Linked DNA regions of Rattus norvegicus. The main gene of each other region encodes a partner of the protein of the gene in region 2 in a complex. Links are inferred from orthologs where the notes say so. Each region holds a gene or a part of one and is shown on either strand. Other genes may lie near its edges.

Region 1 (4,363 bases), on a different chromosome or scaffold from region 2:
GGGTGCCTTTCTCTGAGCTGCAGCCTTTACTGCTCTCTTCCCCTTGGAGTGCCCCCTATCTCTTCTTCCTCTTCTTTCCCCTCCTCAGACACCATAAAAATCTCTGGTTCCTTCTACCCTGTAAACAAGCTGCCTAGCTTCCGGCAGGCCAGTAGCAAGTCTTCCAGGAGCTTTGATCTGACAGGAAGCTGCAGAATATAGGCTGGACCCGAGGGGATGATGTGAGAGGGATTGGCTGCAGAGAGGGTGCGGGGCAGGGGGGACGACACAGTGGACCAAGAAGGTGGACATGTTTTCTAGACAAACAAAACAAAACAAGACAACAACAAAAAACAAATAACAACAACAGCAAAAACCAACCACAGAGGCCTCGAGGGAAGACAGGAGCGAAGGAGAAAGAGACTCAGAAAAAGGTCAGCAAAGCCACAGCCACCTTTCACAGGATCCATTACCACACAAAAAGCACAGGGCCTGTCAGAAATGACAGGGGAGAGGCATAGAAATGAAGGGATTGTGGAAGGCAAGATGCATGCAGAGAACACAACACCAAAGGAACACAGAGAGAGACCACACAAGGGATGTTACCGAGTGACAATACATACCACACACCTTTCAAGATGCTTGGGGTTCCTGCCACCCTCACAGGGCCCCCAGAGATGGGAGAGGAGGGCACAGCTCCAGCACAGCCCCACCACAACGACAGCCTGTGGTCCTGAAGGCGTTTTCATCTTCTCCTCATGGTCCCCAGTCAGCCCACTCTAGCCCAGTTGTGGGCTGTGCCCCCTCACCACACACCCTTCCTCTGCTGACTAGCTTTGTATAAACTTCCTAGAGATGTGACCCTCTAAGCGACCCTTGTGGTTCAGTGGCTGCAACCTCTGCCACCCTCTCCTCTGCCTCAGATGCCCACGCGCAAAGGGTGGGTGGCAGTGGGTGGGGGGGTCTGTACCCCCTGCTGCTCTTGTCTCTGAAAGCACTGAACATGCACGCCCTACAGATGCTCGTATACACATCCTCCCCTCCATCATAACATTTCCCATCTCCATCCAAGGTATTTAACCCAACAAATGTTTACTACGTGTCTAAGACATGCCAGACATGGCCACCCAACTCCCAACCACTGCCTCTTCACCACTGTGGTCAAGAGCAAGACCCAAGGCCACTTCGAGCCTCTGCCTAGTATGGTTGATTGTGGGGGAAGATTTTGCACTTAGAGGCAGGCCTCTTCTATGAGGGCCTCCGGTTGAAAGGGAAAACTGGTTCTGAGTATCTGGCTCCTCAGGGGATCTTTCATTAGCGGGGCGGCCATTTTGTATCAACCTTCAGAATCTCAGATAGCACCAGAAATGGTCAGAACATGAAACAGCACTGGTCTCTGTCATCAGGTTCTCCCGGCCTTGCTTACGACATTAAATAAATAAAATAAATAAATAAAGTTCCCTACAAGACCAGGACATTCCTCTATTCCACTCAATAGAGTTTTTGAATTATCAAGACGGAACCTTTCTATTATGAAGAATCAGACTGAACCTCAGGAAACCACTCTCCGGGAACAAGTCTATGAACTGAAGGACATCATCCATGGGTACAACAGGACTTCAAGACCATGTGGCTGTAGGAGAGGAGAAAGGTCTGAGGGTCTGAAGTCAGGGGGCCAGAGTTGAACAGCTCACCCTGTCTTGAGAAATAGAGTTCTACCTTTTTTTTTTTTTTTTTTTTTTTTGGTTCTTTTTTTCGGAGCTGGGGACCGAACCCAGGGCCTTGCGCTTCCTAGGTAAGCGCTCTACCACTGAGCTAAATCCCCAGCCCCGAGTTCTACCTTATGCCCACTTTGTACCAAGACCACTGGGGTCTGTAGCCAAGACGAATTCTCTTAGAATTAATTATTCTAACGAGAGAGAGAGAGAGAGAGAGAGAGAGAGAGAGAGAGAGAGAGAGAGAGAGGAGAGTATCCCTTTACAGCAATTCATAGATAAGAGGTCAGTTTTAACATTTTCTGATAAATTACCTTCCCCATCTCCTAACTCAGGGTAACTAAAACAGAGTCAGTCCCCTTAGAACATTTCAAAAACCCTAAGTATCAGTCCAGATGTAGCAGCATGTGCCTCCATCCCAGCTACCAGGAAAGCTGAGGTAAAAGGATCACCTGAGCCCAGGATATTGAGACCAGCCCAGGCAACACAGTGAGACCTCAGAAACAAAACACAACAAACCAAGATCCTAAAAGTCCACAGAAGATAACAAGAGGTCCACAGCTCACGTGAACACAGAAGAAACTGAGCGAGGCCAAAAACGGACCATGTGGCTTGCATTGCTCTTAAGTGTATGATCCTTGGTGTTTTGCAAAGTAGTTTTTGTTTTTTGTTTTTTGTTTTTTGTTTTTTTTTTTTTTTAAATGGCATGTAGTCCACCTTTTTACTCTGCTTTTTATTTGTTTTTCTTGTGTTCACGGTTTCTTTTTTCATTTCTTAGTGTCTCCACCATTCTCAATATCTGTTCCTTCTTTCTGATTTTCTGTCCTTTGCTTAAATACTTCTGCATTTTCTCTCTCCCCGGCTTCACCCTTCCCACCGTCTCCCAGCTGCCTTTTCTAGCTCCCAGCCATCACCCCTCTGACTTTGCATTCTAGCTGGGGTGCGTCGAGGGGACACCTACTGCTCTGAGCACTAAACTATGCTTGGCGGGCAGTGACTGGCAAAGATGAGCAATGCTTACTGCCGAGCCTTTCGAACCTCATGATTCCAGTGGGAGGTCACTGTCCATGACCTGTTCTAAGAGGAGTATGGGAGAACTCCAGGCCACAACTGGGAACAGAGAACCGCATCCAGAACATTCCAGCACATCGGCTGCCCCTTCCAGCTCCTCGAAAGAACGAAGTTGAACACGTCCCTCTTACCTCTGGCCAGTCCTTCCTTCTTCGCTCTGCTTCTTGCACAGGTGTGTCTATAGGAGGGCTCGAGGCCTTGCAGACAGGTGCCTAGTGAAGAAGACAGTCTTGCTATGTCTTCACAGATGTTCGTAAATGAAAAGACAGGAAGCCTGGTGGCGAGGCTCCTCTACACAGCGGCGGACGTGAGCCAGCCCTCAGGAGTCCCTCCCTTCTACCCCCAGTTGTTGGGGAAGTTGACAAATTAAAAATGCCAAAGTCATTGGAAATAACCAAGCAGAATCAGGCTGCAGTTTGGAATGTCAATGCTGTTTGGGGAAGTAAAAAGGCTGGCACAGCCTGGTCGGGCTGGCCTGAGGAAAGGCTTAGGGGCACATAACTGTGACCCCAGCACTTAGGTGACTTAGGCCGAAGAATCACAAGCTCAAGGCCAGACTGGGCTGTTTATGTAGTAATGCCACATCAAAAAGAAAATAAAAAGTTGTAGGGGTTGGGGATTTAGCTCAGTGGTAGAGCGCTTGCCTAGCAAGCGGAAGGCCCTGGGTTCGGTCCCCAGCTCCGAAAAAAAAAAAGAAGAAGAAAAAAAAAAGTTGTCAAAAAATTTCATCAATGGAAAATTTAGATTTCATTGCCCAACCAATCCACTAAGTCAGCAGTTTAGAGATGTTCAGAGAGCCTAGAGGGAAACAGCAAGGGTCAACATGGCTCTGTGACAGCTAAAGGCATAGTGGTTTTCCCTTCCGCCATTGCTGAAGACCAAGTGGGTAGCATATGGCCAAGATGCTAAAAGCATGCATGATGAGAATCTTGTGTATCTCCTCTATGGAAAAGGCATGAAGAAGCCATTTAGACTGTATACCCCCCCTTACAGGAGAGTAGGGTCACTGTTTTTGGACAGGTAAGCAAACATGCTACACTTCCTTTAGTGACAATTTGAGAGCAGCTGTGGTGATCCCTCCGAGGGATTCTCATTACATACCCCTGAGCACATCTGTGCAATGTGGCTTCTTCCAGGGCTGTGATCAGCAGACCGTGTATCTGGCCTGCTGCGGCAGAGAGGCCTGGATCGAAATATGGACATCTGAGAAGACAGGAATGAATGGGGAGCATACTATTGCTAATATTCCCCATATTCTCCTCTAGCCCAGATCTCACCTAAACTCTGCAGGTACACGCCCACCTTCCTGCAGGACATCTCCACTCCACTCGGGTGTTTACCAGACTGTGGTGATTTGACTAAGAATTACCCTAATAGGTTCATCTATTTGAATGCTTAGTCACTAGAAAGCAGCACCATTTGAAAGGATTGGAAGGATTAAGAAGTGTGGCCTTATTGGAGGAAGTATTTCACTGAGGGAGGGCTTTAAGGTTTTAAAAGCCCATGTCAGGGGGACTGTAGAGATGGCTCAGTAGTTAAGAGCACTAACTGCTCTTCTAGAGATCCTGAGTTCAAATCCCAGCAACCACATGGTGGCT
Region 2 (2,708 bases):
GTTGCTGGGAATTGAACTCAGGACCTCTGGAAGAGCAGTCAGTGCTCTTAACCGCTGAGCCATCTCTCCAGCCCAAGAATATTTTTTTTTTTTGGTTCTTTTTTTCGGAGCTGGGGACCGAACCCAGGGCCTTGTGCTTCCTAGGCAAGCGCTCTACCACTGAGCTAAATCCCCAACCCCAAGAATATTTTTTTAAAAGAAGTTTGCTGAGCGTGTTGGTACATCCTTTAATCCCAGAATTTGGGAGGCAGAGGCAGGCAAATCTTTTTTTTTTAACTGTTGTTTTTGATTTTTTTTTTTTTTTTCGGAGCTGGGGACTGAACCCAGGGCCTTGCACTTGCTAGGCAAGAGCTCTACCACTGAGCTAAATCCCCAACCCTGTTTTTGATTTCTTGAGACACTGTTTCTCTGTAGAATTCTGGCTGTCTTAGAACTCTGTAGACTAGGCTGGCCTCAAACTCACAAAGATTCTTTACCTCTGAGTGATGGCACTACTCCCATCTTGACCCCCTTTCTTTCTTTCTTTCTTTCTTTCTTTCTTTCTTTCTTTCTTTCTTCCTTCCTTTCTTTCTTAAGACTTACTTATGTATATGAGAACACTGTCTTCAGAAACACCAGAAGAGGGCATCAGATCCCATTACAGATGGTTGTGAGCCACCATGTGGTTGCTGGGATTTGAACTTAGGACCTGTGGAAGAGCAGTCAGTGCTCTTAAAGATTTATTTATTTATTTATTTATTTATTTATTTATTTATTTAATGTATACGAGTACACTGTAGCTGTCTTCAGACACACCAGATCTCATTACAGATGGTTGTGAGCCACCATGTGGTTGCTGGGAATTGAACTCAGGACCTCTGAAAGAGCAGTCAGGGCTCTTAACCACTGAGCAATCTCTCCAGCCCGAGCAGTCAGTGCTCTTAACCACTGAGCCATCTCTCTAGCACCTTGGATCCCATTTCTTAAAGGTTCTACAATCTCCCACTAATGCCGTGAATTGGGGCCAGGCTTACAGCACGTGGGGAGACATTCAACATCCAAGCTGTAGGCTGGGGTTGTAGCTCAATAATGGAGTGCCCATTTAATGTGTGTGAGGTCCTGTGTTCAATTCCAAGTACTATAGAAGTAGATGATAGATAGATAGATAGATAGATAGATAGATAGATAGATAGATAGACAGACAGACAGACAAGCAGATAGACAGACAGACAGAGCAAGCCAGCTGTGGTGGTACATTTCTTTAATCCTAGCATTGGGAGGCTGAGGCAGGGTCTCTATAAGTTTGAGGCCAGCCTGGTCTACAGAGTGAGTTCCAAGATAGCCAGAGCCACACAGAGAAACCCTGTCTCAAAAACAAACAAACAAACAAACAAACAACAACAGAAAAAAAAGAGAGAAAGAAAGAAAGAAAAGAGAAAAATCCAGTTTAGCATTAGCTTTGCTCTTAGGTTTCCAAAGCTTAGAGGCTGAGGTTCCGTCTGCCTTCCAGGAATGACCAACCCTGAAGTCATTCAGAACCTGGAAAAAGGCTACCGAATGGTGCGACCTGACAACTGCCCGGAAGAGCTGTACCACCTCATGATGCTGTGCTGGAAGGAGCGCCCAGAGGACAGGCCCACGTTTGACTACCTTCGGAGCGTTCTGGATGACTTCTTCACAGCCACAGAGGGCCAGTACCAGCCCCAGCCTTGAGGCCTTGCGGTCCCAAGATCCTCCCCTATCCCTCTGGAGTTCTTGTGCCCTATCCATGCGGCCTGTGCACACGTGGACTCCGACTCGGCACGTGAAGCCTGTGCGTGTGCCATACATAGCCGTTTTTGTCTCATACACACATCCGTAGTTATGTGGGTTCTACACATGTGCCTTATACCCATGGAACATGTGAGTCTAAGTCTTAGAGACCACCTAAGGTGTCTCTTTCCATTCCATTTTCTGAAACCACAGAGAGGAGAAGGCTTGTGATTGCTGCATGTGTCTGTCTACCACTGCCTTTCTGGGGGCCTCCAGGAAGGCCCTCCTTGTGGGCTGCCATCCAATCTAATGTCTCTGTGTGCTGTGCCTTGGTGGTACCACACACCAGGAGCTCAATAAAAGTCTGTTCAATTAAGGCTGTACAGTTTTCTACCGCACACTTCATTTCTTTGTGGCAGATAGTGGGGGGGTCGGATGAGAGAGACTGGGGTTGCTGGTGGACCACCTGGCCTAGGTTCTCTTGCTGTGATCGCTACAGGCTGTTTCTCCTGTAATGTAAGTGTGTCTCCACTGAACAAGGGAAGCACCATTACCATGTAAAACATGGTGTGAAGCCCTGGTGGTTGGGAGTCAACCCCCCGGAGACTGGGGAGTCCCTACACATACCATGCACACCACCGGAGTTAAACAAGAATAGTTTATTGAGTGCATACCATAATACTGGATGTCCAGGTCCTCAAGAGGGAAAAACATAATTGTGACACTAGTCTGCTCTCAGAGTAGACTTTTTATAGGAAAAAACCAGGTTCAAAAGTTTAAAGGGGGCTGGAGAGATGGCTCAGCGGTTAAGAGCACCCGACTACTCTTCTCGAGGTCCTGAGTTCAATTCCCAGCAACCACATGGTGGCTCACAACCATCTGTAAAGAGATCCGATGCCCTCTTCTGGTGTGTCTGAAGACAGCTACAGTGTACTTATATATGATAAATGAATAAAAAAATTTAAAAAAAATTTAAA
Region 3 (4,353 bases), on a different chromosome or scaffold from region 2:
ATTTTAAAATGTGAGTATTCAGAAAAAAAACATAAGAGATTGTTTTGCCCGAGCAACCGAGCTCACTCCAGACCGTGGAGATAACAAAGCCTTTTCCAGGCTTTTGTCTTTCTACTCTCTGTCCACCCCAAGCAACACAATCTCCCGCTGCTCTCCCGCTGAGACCTTCTGTGCTCCTTCCTTTTCTCTGGAATGAATTCCAATACCTCACCAGCATTCTGCTGCTCCTTGTTCAGGTACTGGCTGACTCCTAGTCCCCTGCCACCAGGACTTCACTGGTATGACCTCCCGCTGGGAAGGAGTCCCAAACCACCAGCCATGCCACTGGTCCCACAGCTGCCCAGGGTGAGCAGAACTTCAGTTCAGAGACTTTACTCACCTGGGACATTTGCAAACACGCCTTCGGTTCCCTAGACAAGGAAGAAGGGAGAGTGAATACCCTCTAGCTGTCTCCAGATACTGTTTTAATAGCTTCCTCTTCTCCAGATCTTTGAGGCTCAGAATTCTTCAGACTTGGAGTGAACACTATGTTGCCTACTCTTTCCTGTAGTCACTCCCATCACTTGGGAGGCAGAGGCTGGTGGATCTCTGTGAGTTCAAGGGCAGCCTGGTCTAGAGAGCAAGCTCCCAGACAGCCAGGGCTACACAGAGAAACCCTATCTCTAAAAATAAATAAATACATACATACATAAATACATAAATGTATAAATAAGGGCTGGAGAGATGGCTCAGCAGTTAAGAGCTCTGACTTCTCTTCCAGAGGTACTGAGTTCAAATACCAGCAACCACATGGTGGTTCCCAACCATCTGTAATGAGATCTGATGCCCTCTTCTGGTGTGTCTGAAAACAGCTACAGTGTACTTATATAGACCTTTATAAATACATAAATAAAATAAAACATTTTAAATTTGGTTTGGTGGCCTATGCCTGTCATCCAGCACTCCCAAATGGAGGGAGGCAGAAGGATCAGATCAGAAGTTTGGGGTTAGCCTAAGCTACCTACTAGTTTTTGGCTAGCCTAGACAACATGAAATGAAACCCTTCCTTGGTGAGGAAGAGGCATTGTAAGTGCAGACGTGAGTGGATCTGGGAATCTGTAGACCTGGCTGGTGTAATCACCTGTATAGACTCAGAGGAGTGAGCGGTTTGTGAGGTGGGACTCAGCCTTCTTGGACCCGGGTCTCAGGACTACATAGGCTCCCTCCCTAGTGTGCTTAAATTATCTTGGCTGTGCTAGCTTCTGCTTCATCAGCTCCTGGAGGTCCCGGAAAAGGGTTCTGTTCCGATAAGTTCCCAGAGGGTGGAAAGAGCAGCGGGGTGGCCTACCTGTTTCCTGCCTTCAAGAAAGAATCCACTGCACCGGTCCTACGGGTCGGCTGGAGCAGCGCCCACCCCCTCCCCTGGTCGCCCCTTCCCCCTCCCCACCCCCGCCCCAACCTAAACTTAATCTCCCTCAAGGGCTGTCTGGAGCCCGACCAAAGCACTGACTCCTCCCGGAGCACAAAGCAATCTCCTCCAAGCGGGGACTCCCCAGAACTTACTGTGGCAGCAGATGAGAGTGATGACCAGGGACAGCAGAAGAACCGCGCAGATTCCGGCCAAGGGTGCCCAGATGTAAATATCGCAGGCGAAGCCCAATCCCATTCCCTCCACTGACAAGATCCAAGTGAATGGAATTTAGAAACCGGCTGCGACAGCCCCAACCCTGCTCCCAGTACTTCTCCGGGTCCAGGTCTCTCTCTAAGATCAGATTTTTCCTCCACAAGTAACTTCCCAGGCTATCTGCCCACCCCAATCGCTGACCTTGAGGTCACCTAACCTGAGCCACTCGCCCCGGGTCGGCAAGCTTCTGGTCGTAGGGGCCGGGGTGTCCCTGTAGGAGGAGGCACTGGTGTGGGAGCTCGCGTCACCGGCTTGGTGATAATAGAGTTCACTGCAAAAGCAACAGGGTGCCTGCGGGTCAGGCTGGAGTTGTGGATGCCCAAGCCGCTTTCCGCTTATCCTTTACTCAAGAAGGAGCCTTTTTCTGGCTTTAACTACCGGAAGAAGGGACTCCTGGATACGCTCGCACACGCGGAACCAAGTGTGATTTGGGGCCAATGCGCCTAGACCAGATCCAGCAGCTTAGCGGCTGCGGCCCTCCATCAACCGAAAGCTGGAGTCAATACCAGAACTCTATCCTGGAGCCAAGAGGGGCAGGATTACACATGAATCCTGACTCCATTCCAGATCCAGGGCGTTAAAAGTTACTTCCAATCCCATCCAGCACCTCAGCCTCAGTTTTCTGGTCTGTAAAATGGGGCTAGTGTAGCCGCCAAGGGACCCCAAGAGATTTAAGAAGAGGGAATCTAAGTGTGAAATCTGTTCAGATGTAACCCTTAAAACCCAGGGGAAGGGACCTCCGCTCCCAAACCTTTCTGAAACACCGGCACCAGAGGACTGAAGTACATCACCGAGTTGCTGGTGATTGAGCAGAAATAGTAGCCTTGGTTTTTAGTGCTGAACTTGCTCAGGGTGAGGATGTATTTGTTGTTTTCCTTCCGGGCAGAGAACAGATTCGGATCCAGTATATCGTTCAGCTTGCTCCGGGATGAAGATACATAGATGATGAAGGTGGGCTGGAGGAGTTCGGAGCTGGAGTTCCGGAAGAGCCAAGAGCATCCTTGCGAAGTGTCCCGCAGCACTTCGCATGTTAGCTTCACCTCCTGGCCAATTTCAGCGTCCACTTTCTTTGGTGACAACTGTAACTGTCCGGAAACCTGGAGCCTAGTGATAACATCTGCAGGTGCCAGGTAAGAAGGCTGAGTCAGGCGTCCCGAACCCTTGATGTGCTCCAGCCCCCCTCCACCAGGATCATCAACTCACCCAGCAGTAGCAGGTTCAGCGACAGAAAGCAGATCACCCGTGAGGCCATGGTGTGCGTCCCACCAGCACCTTAGGTCAAGCTAGGGCTCTAGGGGAGGGGCCCAGGAACAGGGAGGGAGTTGGGGGGAGGAGTGGAGGGTGAGAAAACCTTAGCAGGCTGCAGACAGAACTGATTTCCTATATGAGGATATGATGTCACCCAATGCTCTCACCAAAGAGTGTTAGCCTCCTTTTCGAAGTTATCACCCTCTAGGGGCCTGGGAACCTAGAGAATGGGGCCTTGCACAGCAAGAGGGGATAGTTGAAAACTGAGATATGGGGGAAGAGAAATGCTTGGAAAGGGGCCCTTGGCAATTGTTCTTCTGCAAGAACAGCTGAAAGAAGGAGAAAGAGGAAATCTTAGTAAAATAACATGAGAGTGACAGGACTTGAAGGGAGAGGGGTGTCCACTCTCTTTTTCTTGTAGACAAGGTCTTGGGGAGCCCAAACTTGCCTCAGACTCACTTTACAGCAAAGGCTGGCCTTGAATTCTAGACCTTCCTGCCCTTCTACTTCTTTTGCTGGCAATAGTGTCTTTTTGTCCTTTTGCTTTTTGCCTGGCAGTTGAATGGAAAGAGAACTTACAGAATTCCAGCAAAGTAGACCAGACATTAACTAAAAGGGCCTTACACCTTTTATCAAAGGGATTTGCAAGAGGGGCAGTTCAACAGGAACCTTGAGTGGCACTCTTAGCTGCTGACAATATCCTTCCCTGGCCTGCCACCCTGAGGGCAAGACTCACCTCCCAGTCTCATCCCTTCTAGAACCATGGCAACAGACTCCACAACAAATTCTCTCCAATTGGATGATCCCACTACATACTTTGATCCTCATTCTTATCCAGGGGATCTGACAGCACCACCCATGACCAGCAGAGCTAGATGAAAACAACCCCCTGACTTGGTTGGGGACTAGCCCTTGGTAGGTGCTGGCTTCCCTCAAGCTGCTGTCCTTGGCTTTGCTATGTACCTGCAAGTCGCTGCCTCACAGACATGTTTCCTTTGTTGCTTACTTACTCCTGAGTTTCCAAGCTCTTGCTGCTCTCTGCCTGGCAAATGCCAGGGCCCCTGCCCTCTGACTTGGACCTTTGATTTTTCTCTGTTGCATGTATGCATGTGTGTGTCCTGGCTGGATCTTGGGGAAGGCATTTAACTCTTCTCTGTCCCTGGCACACATATACTTCATTCCTTCTTGCTCACTACCGTCCTGAAAGCTGCCAGTCTCGGGATTGTGCTTTCCTCTTGATTGTCTATGGCTTGCAGTTAGTAGAGTTTTCCACTTAGAATCCCATTCAGGGTGCACCTCACACGTTATTGCTTGATTCTAGTTTGAGGCAGGTTGCCTGGCATTCTCTGCCTTCACATCAGAGTTCTGCCCAGTATCAGTCTGGTTGCTGTAGCTTTCACAGTGCCGGGTATAGCCACGACATTCAGTTTACACAAACAAGG

Evidence for each region.
Region 1: the proteins of Lck (region 2) and Cd4 are in contact, whole or in part, in an NMR structure (PDB 1Q68), measured with the Homo sapiens proteins. The link is inferred for Rattus norvegicus from reciprocal best matches to the Homo sapiens genes LCK and CD4. Residues at the interface, in NP_001036236.1 of Homo sapiens: Glu15, Ile17, Val19, Cys20, Asn22, Cys23, Tyr25, Pro26, Ile27, Val28; in NP_000607.1 of Homo sapiens: Ala429, Arg431, Ile435, Leu438, Leu439, Lys443, Thr444, Cys445, Gln446, Cys447.
Region 3: the proteins of Lck (region 2) and Cd8a are in contact, whole or in part, in an NMR structure (PDB 1Q69), measured with the Homo sapiens proteins. The link is inferred for Rattus norvegicus from reciprocal best matches to the Homo sapiens genes LCK and CD8A. Residues at the interface, in NP_001036236.1 of Homo sapiens: Cys20, Asn22, Cys23, Tyr25, Pro26, Ile27, Val28; in NP_001139345.1 of Homo sapiens: Arg212, Arg213, Val214, Cys215, Lys216, Cys217.

The regions. Positions count from the first base shown.
Region 1 is NC_086022.1:159,378,545-159,382,907, forward strand, and holds the start of Cd4 (T-cell surface glycoprotein CD4 precursor), read right to left. Parts: upstream 2,918-4,363; 5' UTR 2,897-2,917; intron 1-2,896. UniProt on the Homo sapiens protein: Integral membrane glycoprotein that plays an essential role in the immune response and serves multiple functions in responses against both external and internal offenses.
Region 2 is NC_086023.1:147,172,047-147,174,754, reverse strand, and holds the end of Lck (proto-oncogene tyrosine-protein kinase LCK), read left to right. Parts: intron 1-1,489; coding exon 1,490-1,692; 3' UTR 1,693-2,113; downstream 2,114-2,708. UniProt on the Homo sapiens protein: Non-receptor tyrosine-protein kinase that plays an essential role in the selection and maturation of developing T-cells in the thymus and in the function of mature T-cells. Plays a key role in T-cell antigen receptor (TCR)-linked signal transduction pathways.
Region 3 is NC_086022.1:104,922,684-104,927,036, reverse strand, and holds the start of Cd8a (T-cell surface glycoprotein CD8 alpha chain precursor), read right to left. Parts: upstream 2,922-4,353; 5' UTR 2,916-2,921; coding exon 2,867-2,915; intron 2,781-2,866; coding exon 2,415-2,780; intron 1,935-2,414; coding exon 1,821-1,934; intron 1,654-1,820; coding exon 1,543-1,653; intron 411-1,542; coding exon 380-410; intron 1-379. UniProt on the Homo sapiens protein: Integral membrane glycoprotein that plays an essential role in the immune response and serves multiple functions in responses against both external and internal offenses. In T-cells, functions primarily as a coreceptor for MHC class I molecule:peptide complex.